3 linked regions of the Ovis aries genome follow. The protein of the gene in region 1 interacts with the protein of each later gene in a pairwise test. Links are inferred from orthologs where the notes say so. Each region holds a gene or a part of one and is shown in the gene's direction. Other genes may lie near its edges.

Region 1 (4,262 bases):
CAGGCTTCACTGCAGCACGTGGGATCTTCCCAGACCAGGGGTCGAACCCGTGTCCCCTGCACTGGCAGGTAGATTCTTAACCACAGAAGCCCCACCATATTTTTAAAAATCAAGAATATAAAAAACACCAAAATCCAGGATGAACAAAACATCAAAGTGTTAAATAAAGGCAGCATCAGCATCTGATTTTTGCAGCAGGTTCCGGTACTGCTCAGCATGGCCTGGTTAGAGATACTGCCTTTGTCTGAAGTTTTAACAATTTTGTTCATCTTGGGTTTTGGACATTAATTTTTTTTAATCTTTTTTTTCTTTGGTTGCACTATGAAGTATGAGAGATCTTAGTTCCCTGACCAGGATCAAACCTGTGCCCCTGCATTGGGAACACAGTCTTAACCACTGGACCGCCGGGGAAGTACCATTTGGGCATTAATTTTGATTTTTTTTTTTCAATTGCATCAAAATGCTCTTTTTCTTGATCTCTGAGTGTTTTGGGGCTTCCCCTTAAATGCTGTACACAAGGTGAGGACCTTCTTGCTTCACCCTGGTCCCAGCGGTAGTGGGGCAAAACATATCCCTGGTCCCCCTCACAGGGCAGGGCTGGCAGGAAAGTCTCCAGGTAAGAGAGGTGACAATCGCATGAAAAATGAAATAACAGCTAATAGGCATTGAGTCTATAGGCCAAGCACTGCCCTCACTTCCTCCCGACTTTCCTTTCCTGAGCGCCCTAACTGTGCTGAGTGCCCTCCCAGACGTGGGATAGAACAGACGTAGAGATGCTTCCCGCACCATACAGAATCCACATCCCGGTTTGGGGAGAGACGATAATATAACAAAATCCATAAGGATCAGCAGAACGTGAGGTATGCAATGCTCCTGGCTAAAGACGGAGAGGTGGGGGGCTGGAATGAAGAAAAGGAGCTCTGAGCCTTGTTTCAGGCACAGTCACCGAAACAGCACGGTCACCCAGGAAGGAGAGGTGCCGCATGGCCCCCCTCGCAGACGGGGGAACTGAGGCAGCCCACCCAGGAGCGGGCAGGGCGGGGCTCCCAGCCTGGGGCCGAGCCAGGAGGGGGCGTGGGGTGGAGAACCGCGGAGACCCCCAGCAGAACCGGGACTTTCTCCACTCAAAGCGACCGCCTTGATGGTACGTTGGGCGGGACTGTCTCCGCCTCCCTAAAAGGCGAAAGGCCAGGTTGGCTCAGCCCGGCCGGTGTCCGCCCCGCCTCCTCGCCATGGACCACCCCGGGGTGGGCCCTCTAAGGCCGTCCCCCGGGGCTGGCAACGTGACCGCTCGCCCTCAAGTGTGCAAGTTCATTCATCCAGGGGCCCCTGCTGACTCACGCTTATGAAAGTGATTTTCCTGGCCCCGCCCTCCGCCCGCCTCTTCCCAGCCCCTGAAATACCCGGGCTTCCCGTCTCTCGCACCCTCTTGAATCCCTACGGGGTAACCCGGCTCCCTGACCCAGGTTCTCCGAGAGGCCTGACCGCGCTCCCCAGTGTCCTCGACCCCGGCCGGTCAGGTGAGTGACCCGGGCGAGGCTTGGGGGAGGTGGGAGAAGGTAGCCCGACCCGGGCAGGGCCCTGGGGCCAGGCAAGGGGACCCCAGGCGGTCCTGAGGGCGGACCACCCCGGCTCCCCATGACCAGCATGACCCCCCCCCAACCCCCGAGATCCTCCTCCCCCCCTCCTGGCCATGCCCACCTCCAGGTGCCTGGCACCCTCGCTGACAGCTGCCCTGCCGGCTGGCTTGCTGGGAGTTCACCTCAGCCCACGTGATGCTACTCCAGGCAGGAAAGAGAGGTGTGGCCAGCCCAGGCCGGCTGACCAGGTCCCGCGGGCAGGCTGGGTGCTGCCCTCCGTCTCCGCCTCTCCTGTTCTCACGGACCGAGCCCCCAGGGTCGAGGGGGACCTGGCTTCTCACAGGAGGGTTGGGGGTACCGAGAATGAGGAGTGGAGTTTCAGAGGGTCTGGAGAGCTCTTGGGGCTCCAGATGAGGGAGGCTCTGGGGGCACTGGTATCAGGGGGTGGGTGCAGAGGCCAAGGGCTCACTCTGGTGACTGGCAGGTGGCACTTGGGCTGGCGGAGCACCTCCCCATCCTCCTCTGCCCCGGCCTCACGGCACTTTCTTGGGGGCACTGTTGTGTCATCTTCCTCAGAGGGGACTCCGACAGGTGTCACAGGGCAGGGTTTGGGGTGTGGTCTCTGACATTCCTGGAAAAGACACCACCCTCCTGACCCCAGTTTTTCCCTTTGGGCAATAGGGATAACAGAAAAAAAAAAAATCCACGGGGTGGGGTAGGAGGGTTGTCATTAAAGTGAAATGAGCAAAAGTACCGCAGGTGCTCAGTAAATGTAGCCATACAGGTGTCCTAAGCCTTAGAGCAGTGTAATCTTCAATAACCCTAGAAATTGCAATGCTCCAAACTCTACGCTCCACACCCAGGAAGGTGCAATTATTCCCATTTCTTTTACGCTGCTTTTCTCCTGTGAACTTGAAGGCCTTTTTAATGTCAACATTTGCCGTCTTCAACCAGAGGGACGTTGGAAACTGACCTTCCCAGCTCCCCAAAACTAAACAGTGTGTGAGAAATAGGAAGTTACACTTTCAAATGGAAAGTTGGCAGCGTGCACTCTTCCGAGGAGGTTTTGAGAGCTCCAAGTCTCGGGACTTGGGCCCTGTGTATTGCGGTGCAGGAAGCAACCGCTCAGGTCAGCCTCTGGGTGGTGACCTCATGCGTGTGGCATCCAGAAGTTTCTGGCATGAGCACTGGACGTGGGGTCCAAAAGCCCTGGTGGTGAATGGGGCCTTCTCCCTCCTGGGAGCGTGAAGACAGGCAGCCTGCAGTGCCTCCTTGTCTATAAACGGGGGCTCCTGCAAACACCCCTCTTACTGGCGCTGGGAGGATTCACAGGGACAGGGCAGAAAATGACTTGTCCTGGGGTGGGCGCTCTGTGGGTACCCCATGTGGCAGGCTGTGGGGTGTCTAGGGACCAAACTCTTGATTCATTATCCACTGGCTCTCTGACATCGGGGGCGTGGCCTCACTGCCCTGAGCCTCAGTTTGCTCGTCTGTAGAGTGCTTTCCCTGAGGATGAAAGGCGCCGATGCGAAAGGATGTCGTGACAAGGATGTCACCTGTTCCTGGGGACAGTGAGGACATCAGCGTGGAGCCCTGGGCTTGTGTGAAGGGAGTGTTCTAGGAACCACAGCCCCTGCCCCAGGGCCACCGGCACACCCAGCGGCTGGCCAGTGAGACGCTGTCCCCCCCCCCCCCAGGTGGAGCACTGGGACAGAGCTGCACTCAGCCTGGAGGGGCCTCCATCACACGCTGTCACACCCCGTGACACCCTGTCACACTGCCTCGGGGGGCACGAGAAGGCCCTCGCACAGAGCAGCCCAGGCTCAAAACCAGTTGAGCCGGCACCCCTTGTGGCAAATTCCCCGCAAGCCATCCAGGACGGTGAGACACTTGCTGGGCCTCAGCTTCCCCATCTGTAATATGGGTGCGGTCGTGAGAGTACTTCTAACAACCCGGTTAAATGTGGGTTAAGTTGGTGAATGTGCGTCAAGTGTTCAGGGCATGCTCAGCACCCGGCTCAGCCCGCAGAAGTTCAGAAATGTTGGTTGTTCTATGTGGCTGTGGTGTCACCCCAGAGCGGACAGCGGGGTCCCTGCAGGGAACCAGGAGTGGAGTGGGGCAAGGGGTCCCTGATGGGGGATACAGCTCATGGCCCAGGCCCCACTGAGGCGGTTCTCTGGAGACCAGAGGGCACACCCCCCTGTGACACTGCTGCCTCCAAGCCCCCCCCGCTCAACTGCCAGCCGGAGATGACGGCGCCCGCCTCTCCAGGTGCCTGCGGGGCACAGATGCTGTGGCTTAGCTGCAAGCTCCTCTCCTTGCAAACTGTAAAGGCTGTGGGCGGGCCCGTTGTCAGTGCCGTGGCAGCGACACCCAGGTCCTCTGGCCAGACCCCCCGGCTGTCCCCTCCCCGCCCGGTGGGGGACACTGGTGTTGCTGTCACTCTTGGCACATCAGAGGTCCCACGCTGGCCTCGGTCGTGCTCCCTCAGCCCGTTCAAGATTTGCAAAAAACGTGAATCAGTTGCATACTCTTCCAAATCAGGGAATTCACATAAAAATCCGGATTTAAGCTTTTTCCTGGAAGAATTCTGAAGGCGGGTGATGCCAGGCTCCCATCCCTGGCTGCTCGGGGCGGTCTGGGCCCTGTGCCACTGACTCACCCTTTCACTTGCTGTGAGCC
Region 2 (4,281 bases), on another chromosome or scaffold:
TCATTTTGCCCAAATAAAAACTTAACTTGCAACTCTCATGTTGTGCTTTTTTTTTAAGTTGACACAATAACAACATTTATTATGTGCTTAAGACAATCCTGGCACTATTTTAAATGTTTTATACAATTTGCTTAATTTTTACAACTCAATAACAGAATGACTACCATTATACCCATATTATAGGCAAGAAGACTGAGACATCAGATGAAAGGAGGAAGTAACCTACTTAATCATGGAGATGGGAATGACAGCCAACCCCAGTATTCTTCCCTGGAAAATCCCATGGACAGAGGAGCCTGGCGGGCTACAGTCCATAGGGTCACAGAGTCGGACATGACTGAGCGACTAACACACACACTCCCCCTACAGCTGCACAGGCTCAGCAAGGGAGCCACAAGCCTAGACTGTGAACCTAGACATCAGCTTCAGATGCTCCCTCCTCTGTTCTGCTCTGCAAGAGCAGCAGTAAAGACCCTTGGGCTTTTCCTTGGAGGGATGGGAGAATAAGCTTATGGTTCCTACAAGCTGCAACTCCAGACCTAGGGCTCTTCAAAACTGCAACCCTGGTGGATCATGACCCTGTAATTCTCCCTATTCCATCTGTCACTTCCCCACTTCTCTCATAGCCTCTAGCCTTGGGCTGATGAGGTGGTCACATGGGGACAGGCGGGACTGCAGTCTGGGACTAATTTCCACTCAGCCACACTTGGAAATCTCCTTACAGCCTGGGTAGCAGCTACCATGAGCAGAAGACAAGGTGGAGGCCAGGCAGGCAATTCCCCAGAGCCACTTGTGCCCAAAGCCACCTTTTTAGGTATCACATGCCAGGACTTGACAGCCAACCTGGCTCAGTATCCAATTCCAACTTCTGACTCAGATGCCTAATGTGGCATGCCTGCATATGCTGTGTTCAGGTACACTTCTGTAGAGGATCTGGTCCCAGTGTTGATTTGGGGAGGTGGGGAGAGACAAGCGATGCCTAAGTCAAGAAGAGACAGGGATTTTCTCAGCTGAGAACTTTGCTGAGTGGCATTTTCCACCCAGACGCTTTCACTGAACGCTGACATCAGAACATTCTAGAAGAGATGCCAAATCAAGTCGAATAAGGTTCTGATATCCTAGAATTTTTAAAAGTAAAAACCCATGTTCTCAAAAATGCCTAGAATATTCTCCTAGAATTCAGTATCTCACATCCACACTTGCTAGCTTTTCTCAGTGTTGTTCTCCATTAATCTGGTGGTCGATAGTTTGGTAGTCTGCTGATTCAATACTGCATCTGCCATTCTTTGCTAATTTTCAGTTTCAACTTTCTCACATATTCCCCTTTCATTTCCTGATAACGTCAGCACTTCATGGCAACACAGGGACACCACTGACCAGGTCCTTCTCTCTCTACCACGCAGTCTAGCTGCACCACTACCCTCTCTCTTGCTCTCATACTCATGATCTTTCTTCATGTCTATTTTTGGTCTTCCTGGCTCAAGCTTCTTTGGGCCACGGAAACACAACCCTCACTCTCTTTCTCTCCCTCTGGTATGTATGCTGCTGGTTGGAGCCCCCCAGGTAGAAACTGCTGCAGAAATCATTTAGTGCTCCTTCCTCAGGAAAACTGATGGCTTCCGGACCACAGCTCAGTTTTTAAGCTGGATGACCTTCTGATGGGTTTTAAACTTCGAATTGGATGTGGACATTTTTCTTTCCGATGACAGAATCACTGGAACTTCCCCTTTGCAGTTGCTTCCTTTCCTTAAAGGTAGCTGAATCTTGCTGTCTTTAAAAACCTTTTCTTTCCAAATTTGCCTGCCATGCCGACTGTCATTAGCGCCTCTGTGGCCCCACGGACAGGGGCTGAGCCCAGGTCCCCAGGGCCCATCGCTCAGGCAGCCCAGGGCAAGGGCACTGAGGCAGGGGGTGGAAACCCAAGTGGCATCTACTCAGCCATCATCAGCCGCAATTTTCCCATTATTGGGGTGAAAGAGAAGACTTTCGAGCAGCTCCACAGGAAATGTCTGGAAAAGAAGGTTCTTTTTGTGGATCCTGAGTTCCCACCGGACGAGACCTCCCTGTTTTACAGCCAGAAGTTCCCCATCCAGTTCATCTGGAAGAGACCTCCGGTGAGTAGCTGACTGCTCGCTGCTTGGGTTTTTTTCCTCAGGGAAAACCTCCTACTCAGCACTTCTCCACAGCACAGCTCATGGGGGCACAGGGCACTGGGTGGAGGATCCTGGAACAGCTCCATGGGGCTCTGTCCTCAAGGGAGGAGGGCTCATTCTCACTCCTTGCTCTCTTTCTGAAAAAAATCTTGTTATTTTATGAAAGCAATTGGAACTCAATTTAATTCACCCTATAAAAAGGAAATATTCCTTTCCCAGAACAAATTCCAAACTGGAATAGCCAAACAACTTCCAAAATTCTGACTTGGAGAGGAGTCCAGATCTACTCTCTGTTGGGTGTCCTGCATCTTATTAGGATTGTTTTCACTCTCTCACTGGAGGGTGAAAATTGTGATGTTCATTTTAGTTTGCCAGTGGCCATGTGGTTCTGAAATACAGAGTCCTAAAAAGAGGAGAATGGCAGCGAAGACTACTTTTTCAAGCACAAAATGTTAGGATTAGAAGGAGAAGCCCCAGCCATCATTTGTCCTAATCTCCTGAATGAGGAAATAAAGACACACCACAGCAAAGCCTATTCAAGACACGCATGACAGCCTGGATGAAAACCCTTTCTCTCTTAAGGGCTCTTCCAGCCTTTGGCTTCCATGTACAGTAATCTACCGGAAGGCAAGTTACATTTTCCAGGCTTCCTTCTCTGATCACACCTCTGACATGACCCTTTCTTTAATTCAATAAGTATTTTTGAACGTCTTCTAAGCCAGAAACCAGGCAAGCAACTGAGGAGTCAGCGTAAATAAGAAAAACAAAAATTCCTGCCCACCTTCAGCCAAGAGTCCTGAGGGCAAGACATGCTTTGAATAAGATGGATAAATTGCAGGAGACAACGCTCAGGGTGCTATGGGATCAGAAGGCAAGGAGAGTTAACCTCCGCCAGAGAGAGAGAGCCCCTCCTGAGGAACCCATGTTATCTGAGTGCTGTTTTTTAGCTTCATGGGGTTAAACTGGATAAGCCTCGCTGTGGTGTGTCTTTATTTCCTCATTCAGGAGGTGAGGACAAATGACGGCTGGGGCTTCTCCTTCTAATCCTAACATTTTGTGCTTGAAAAAGTAGTCTTCGCTGCCACTCTCCTCTTTCCAGGGCTCTGTATTTCAGAACCACATGGCCACTGGCAAAGTGAAAAGAAGCACTGGGGCCTGGTGCTGTTCATGAGCCATGTGTCTGTTTTTAACCTGAGATGAAGTAGCCAGCAACCCTGTCTTCACACTGTGTTCCCCAAGGGCCCCACCCTGCACCTGCCGGTTCTGCGGCCAGGCCCATGACTGTCCTGAGGGCCCTCGGTTTACAAGAGAGGATTGGAAAGAACTTCATTCCCCAAGCCAGTCACTGCCTTGCTGCCAGGGCACTGGGACACATCACATCCCTGCTGAAATACCTTCAACCACACCGCTCTCCCTGCCCCCGCCCGCAGGCCTTGAGATCAAACTCCCTACCTGGGGGATTGCCTCTCCTCCAGCCAGCCCGGCCTCCCTGTCCATCTCTCCTTCACCCTCTCCCCTGGACCCTGTCACACGCAGCTGCTCTGTTGTCTCAAGTCTTATATCTCTCAGCCTTTGCTCCTGCTGTCTGCCTGCCATGCCCTTGTTTTTATCTGCTTTGTTCTGCCTTACCCTTGCTGTGAAACCCTGCTCAGGTATCACTTCCTTCCAGCTTTCTCATGGCCATTCCCATCAGCTGAGAGGGGGGGAGCATTCTCATTCCTCTTGGGAGCCCCTCACTCAGCAAAGCACCTAGCCCGCAGGAGGCACTCAGCTGCTGGTGGTAAATGAAAGCCCACATCACAGAGTATTGACCTCTGAGAGGGGACAGTCCTGTGCTCCAACCTGATAGTTCCTGAAAGCCTTTTCTAACAGTTCTGCAGAGACAAAAACCAAAAAACTTACAAATACTGCTTTTAGTGAAATTGTTGGTGGATTTTAGCCTTAAAACTTAGACCTACACATTAATAAACATGCTTTAAATGGGTCTGTTATGCTCTAGGCCCTAGATGGGTCCTGAAACAAACTGCCATTGTCAATGTGAAAGGAAGGCCATGAGAAGCCTTGTCCTAAATTGTGCTCCCACCACCACCGCCCCCCCCAAGTCCGGAACTTTGTACTGTCTCTAAAG
Region 3 (3,540 bases), on another chromosome or scaffold:
AACCTAGAGTAAAAGATTGTCATGTATAAAATGTTAAAAACAGCTTTGATATTGATGAGATGCTGAGAAGGAGAGAGAGGGTGAGGGTGGTGGGACATGGCCTGGATGTTGGGAATCAGGGAGCAAGGGGAATGCAAACAGAAGTATGGCAATAGCTTTAGGGGTTAGGGCAAATACAGCTTCAGTGGAGGGTTATGCAGAGGATGGGAGCTGCTGGTTGCTGCATTTTCAGGGCTCAGGACAAGGGATTTAGGCTGGACATACAGATTGCCAGGGTGGCTAAATAGAGGCCTGGGTCACAGTATCAGCCAGGATTTAACTCAGCTGCTAGTGACAGGAACACTCAAAATAACAGGCTTAAAAAAGAGAGGTTACATGGAAGACCTGGAAATGGGCAATCCAGGGCTGGGGTGTTGGCCTTACTGCTGTGAGGGACCTGGGCTTGTTCAGGCCTTCTGCCTGCCCCACCCTCACCCCAGTTCCTGTGGCTTGGCTTCTTCCTCATGGTCCAGGATGGTGTTGCAGCTCCAGCCATCACATCTCAGCTTGCAAGTCCCACCAGAGTGGCAGTTTATCCTTCTCTGGCCAGAACTTGGTCATGTGGCCGCACCTCCCAGTAAGAGAGGGAGATTGAGGACTATCATCCTGTAGCTGTATGGCAACACACCCAACTATAACAGGGTTTCAGGTAATTTGAGAGGAAATAGAACTTTCATAACTAAGAAAAGTCACAGGCCTTCTTCATCTTGGGTTATCTGTTCATTCAGTGAGTAGGGGGTACCCCACGTGTTCATGCACTTCTCGAGGGCAACAGCGAGGCAGGCAGATGGGCTCTGGTCTCGTGACGCTGATTATCTAGCAGGAGGTGAGACAGACAATAAACGCATAGCACATGTGGCCTGGTTGACAACCTACATTCTGTACTCAAGTCTTCCCCAGGAGCTCTCTTCAGATGTACCTGTACATAATTAATGATCGAAGCCGACAGTGTCAGACATCACTGCTAATGCCTGCGGGCGCCATGGGCAGCCTGCATCAGCATCGCTTTGATAGGAATTCAGCTCATCCATCAAACACTCCCGAGGGCCTGCACTGTGAGGAGTGGAGGGGAAGGGGAAGGGGAGAAGTAAATAATTAGTAAGCCAGATCCTTACCTCGAAAGCAGCTGGGGACGCATTCTGCTGCCAGAGCCCTCATGGGTTGAGGATAAGAATCCAGCAGTAAAATCCCAAGTCTTTTTCTTCTTCTTCTTTTTTTTTTTTTAATTTTATTTACTTTCTTTTGGCTGTGCCAGGTCTTCATTGCCGTGCGGGCTTTTCTCAGCTGCACTGCTCCAACGTCTCATTGCAGTGGCTTCTCTTGGCAGAGCGCAGACTCCAGGTGGCGCAGGCTTCGGTGGTTGAGGTCCTGGGTTCTAGAGCGCTAGCTCAGTAGTTGTGGCACGTGGGCTTAGTTGCTCTGCGGCCTGTGGGAACTCCCTGGGTCAGGGATCAAACCTGTGTCTCCTGAACTGGCAGGTAGATTCTTTACCACTGAGCCACCAGGGAAGCCCCCAGGTCTTTTCCTTGAGTAAAGGCAGTTTGGGGGCTCTTTCCTTGCTAAGGTGCAGGGCAGAATGATGAGGATAGTTTTGTGAGTCCTACAGACTTTTGAAGCCAACCTGGGAAAATTGAGAAAATACAAGGACATGCGCATGACCTTTTCCTTCTTGTATGACCTTCAGCCATAGTCCCTGAGCCTGGTTTTGCTAGGAACCCGGCAGGTGTCCAAGTTCAGTTCATATGTTGTAAGTGGGTGTGGGTTCTAAATTAAACCCCAGTGAGCGCTACCCACCCAGAACTCCTGTCCCGGCCGCTGGACAAAGACCTAGAGATAGTGATTCTCAAACTGCCTGAAGGGAAGAGTCAGTTCTTTAAGTTTCAATTTCCAGTCTGTTATAAAAAAAATATTAGAAAAATGAAATTAAAATCACATACAAAACACAAACTCCGACTTCTGTTAGTAGATGCAGGAGACATTACTCTGTTCAATTGCTCCAAACGTTTCTAAAAGCAAACTCAGTCCTGAACTGGAGTTGGCCAGTAGCAAAACATTCAGGTCATTAAGGCAGCACTTTGGACAGTGTTGTCCCTCCAGGGCCAGGTGGGGACTGTGTCCTTCCCAGCTGTGTGTCAGGACAGTTCAGAAGGAGAACGAGGAAGCTCCCTAAGCAATTTTGATGTACCTCATGCCCCACACATCTGTTTCCCTGCTGCCCCCCACCCTGCTCCCCACGTTTTCAGCTGCTTCACGAGCAGAGCAATAAAAGGAGCAGCTTGGCTAACTCTGCTGTCATAGTCCCTGTGTGCAGGTGAAAATTTTACTGCACACTTGCAGCCAGAGAAATGAAAGGTCACAGCTAATTGTAATCATTATCCAGGCTCCCCTACCTGACCGGGGCTTTGGGGATATACTGCTTTGATAGCAAAGCAGCTGACTGCAAGGCTGTCTTCTCTGGGTGGCTGGCCTGGGCTCGCCAGTCTGAGCAGGGTGGGAAGGTCACTGGTGACTGGGGACCCTGTGTTGCAGTTCTCCAAGGAGAGGCACGTCATGGACAGGACCCCTGAGAGGCTGAAGAAGGAGCTGGAGGAGGAGCTGCTGCTGAGCAGTGAGGATCTGCGCAGCCACGCCTGGTACCACGGCCGCATCCCCCGACAGGTACCTGCCTGCACGCAAGGTCATGTGCCCAGGGCTGTTAGGAGCAAGCTCCAGTTCAGCCCAAACGAAATAATATGAAGTGGCTTGCGGTGACTTAACGTAGGCCCGTTTCTAAGGAGATCTTGGGAAGAGCTAAGGTCAGAATTCAAAGTCCATTTGCCTGTGGCCAGTGAGGGGATGAAGGAAAAGCAGTTGTTCTGCGGTCTGTAAACACGGGCCCAGTGGGAGGCAGCCATGCAGGGTGGCACCTCGGGGAATATGAGGGCGGGCTGTGGTTCAGCTAATTGAACTCCTGGCCAGCTGCCTGCAGCCTCATAGCCTGTGGAGCCTGCTTCCTTCTTAAGGCCGTGGTTTAATTTCAGGTGAAAAGAGGGTATCATCAGGGCAGGTAACCCAGAGAAACAGGCCGCCTGTGCCCTAGTGGGGCCGGCAATTATTCATTCTCTGCTGCTGCTGCTGCTGCTGCTAAGTCGCTTCAGTCGTGTCCGACTCTGTGCGACCCCATAGACGGCAGCCCACCGGCTCCCCAGTCCCTGGGATTCTCCAGGCAAGAATGCTGGAGTGGGTTGCCATTTCCTTCTCCAATGCATGAAAGTGAAAAGTGAAAGTGAAGTCGCTCAGTCGTGTCTGACTCCCCTATCCGGCCCCTGGCCCAGAAATGGGGAAGACGAATTTTACCCGCGACCACAGACTCATAGCCAGAATATACTTTGTGTGATTGTCCTTTGGGTCCTAGCCATGAATAATGTTTTTGTATTTAATAGTATAGAAATTGAAAAATAAGTGCAGAATTGAGGTATAGAATTTTCCTTGAGTTTTTATTGTAACATGATCCGACCAGTC

The links.
Region 2: the proteins of OSGIN1 (region 1) and CAPN3 interact in binary tests that used the Homo sapiens proteins (3 or more experiments, as listed by UniProt). The two-hybrid records come from large-scale screens. The link is inferred for Ovis aries from reciprocal best matches to the Homo sapiens genes OSGIN1 and CAPN3.
Region 3: the proteins of OSGIN1 (region 1) and BCAR3 interact in binary tests that used the Homo sapiens proteins (3 or more experiments, as listed by UniProt). The link is inferred for Ovis aries from reciprocal best matches to the Homo sapiens genes OSGIN1 and BCAR3.

Annotation. Positions count from the first base shown.
Region 1 is NC_056067.1:9,817,849-9,822,110, forward strand, and holds the start of OSGIN1 (oxidative stress-induced growth inhibitor 1), read left to right. Parts: upstream 1-1,423; 5' UTR 1,424-1,520; intron 1,521-1,701; exon of another isoform or gene 1,702-1,760; intron 1,761-3,277; 5' UTR 3,278-3,461; intron 3,462-4,262. UniProt on the Homo sapiens protein: Monooxygenase catalytic activity. Involved in regulation of cytokinesis; promotes RHOA activity, probably acting locally at the midbody in late cytokinesis.
Region 2 is NC_056060.1:35,935,824-35,940,104, forward strand, and holds the start of CAPN3 (calpain-3), read left to right. Parts: upstream 1-1,481; 5' UTR 1,482-1,805; coding exon 1,806-2,114; intron 2,115-4,281. UniProt on the Homo sapiens protein: Calcium-regulated non-lysosomal thiol-protease. Proteolytically cleaves CTBP1 at 'His-409'. Mediates, with UTP25, the proteasome-independent degradation of p53/TP53.
Region 3 is NC_056054.1:70,768,687-70,772,226, reverse strand, and holds part of BCAR3 (breast cancer anti-estrogen resistance protein 3), read left to right. Parts: exon of another isoform or gene 1-1,766; intron 1,767-2,568; coding exon 2,569-2,697; intron 2,698-3,540. UniProt on the Homo sapiens protein: Acts as an adapter protein downstream of several growth factor receptors to promote cell proliferation, migration, and redistribution of actin fibers.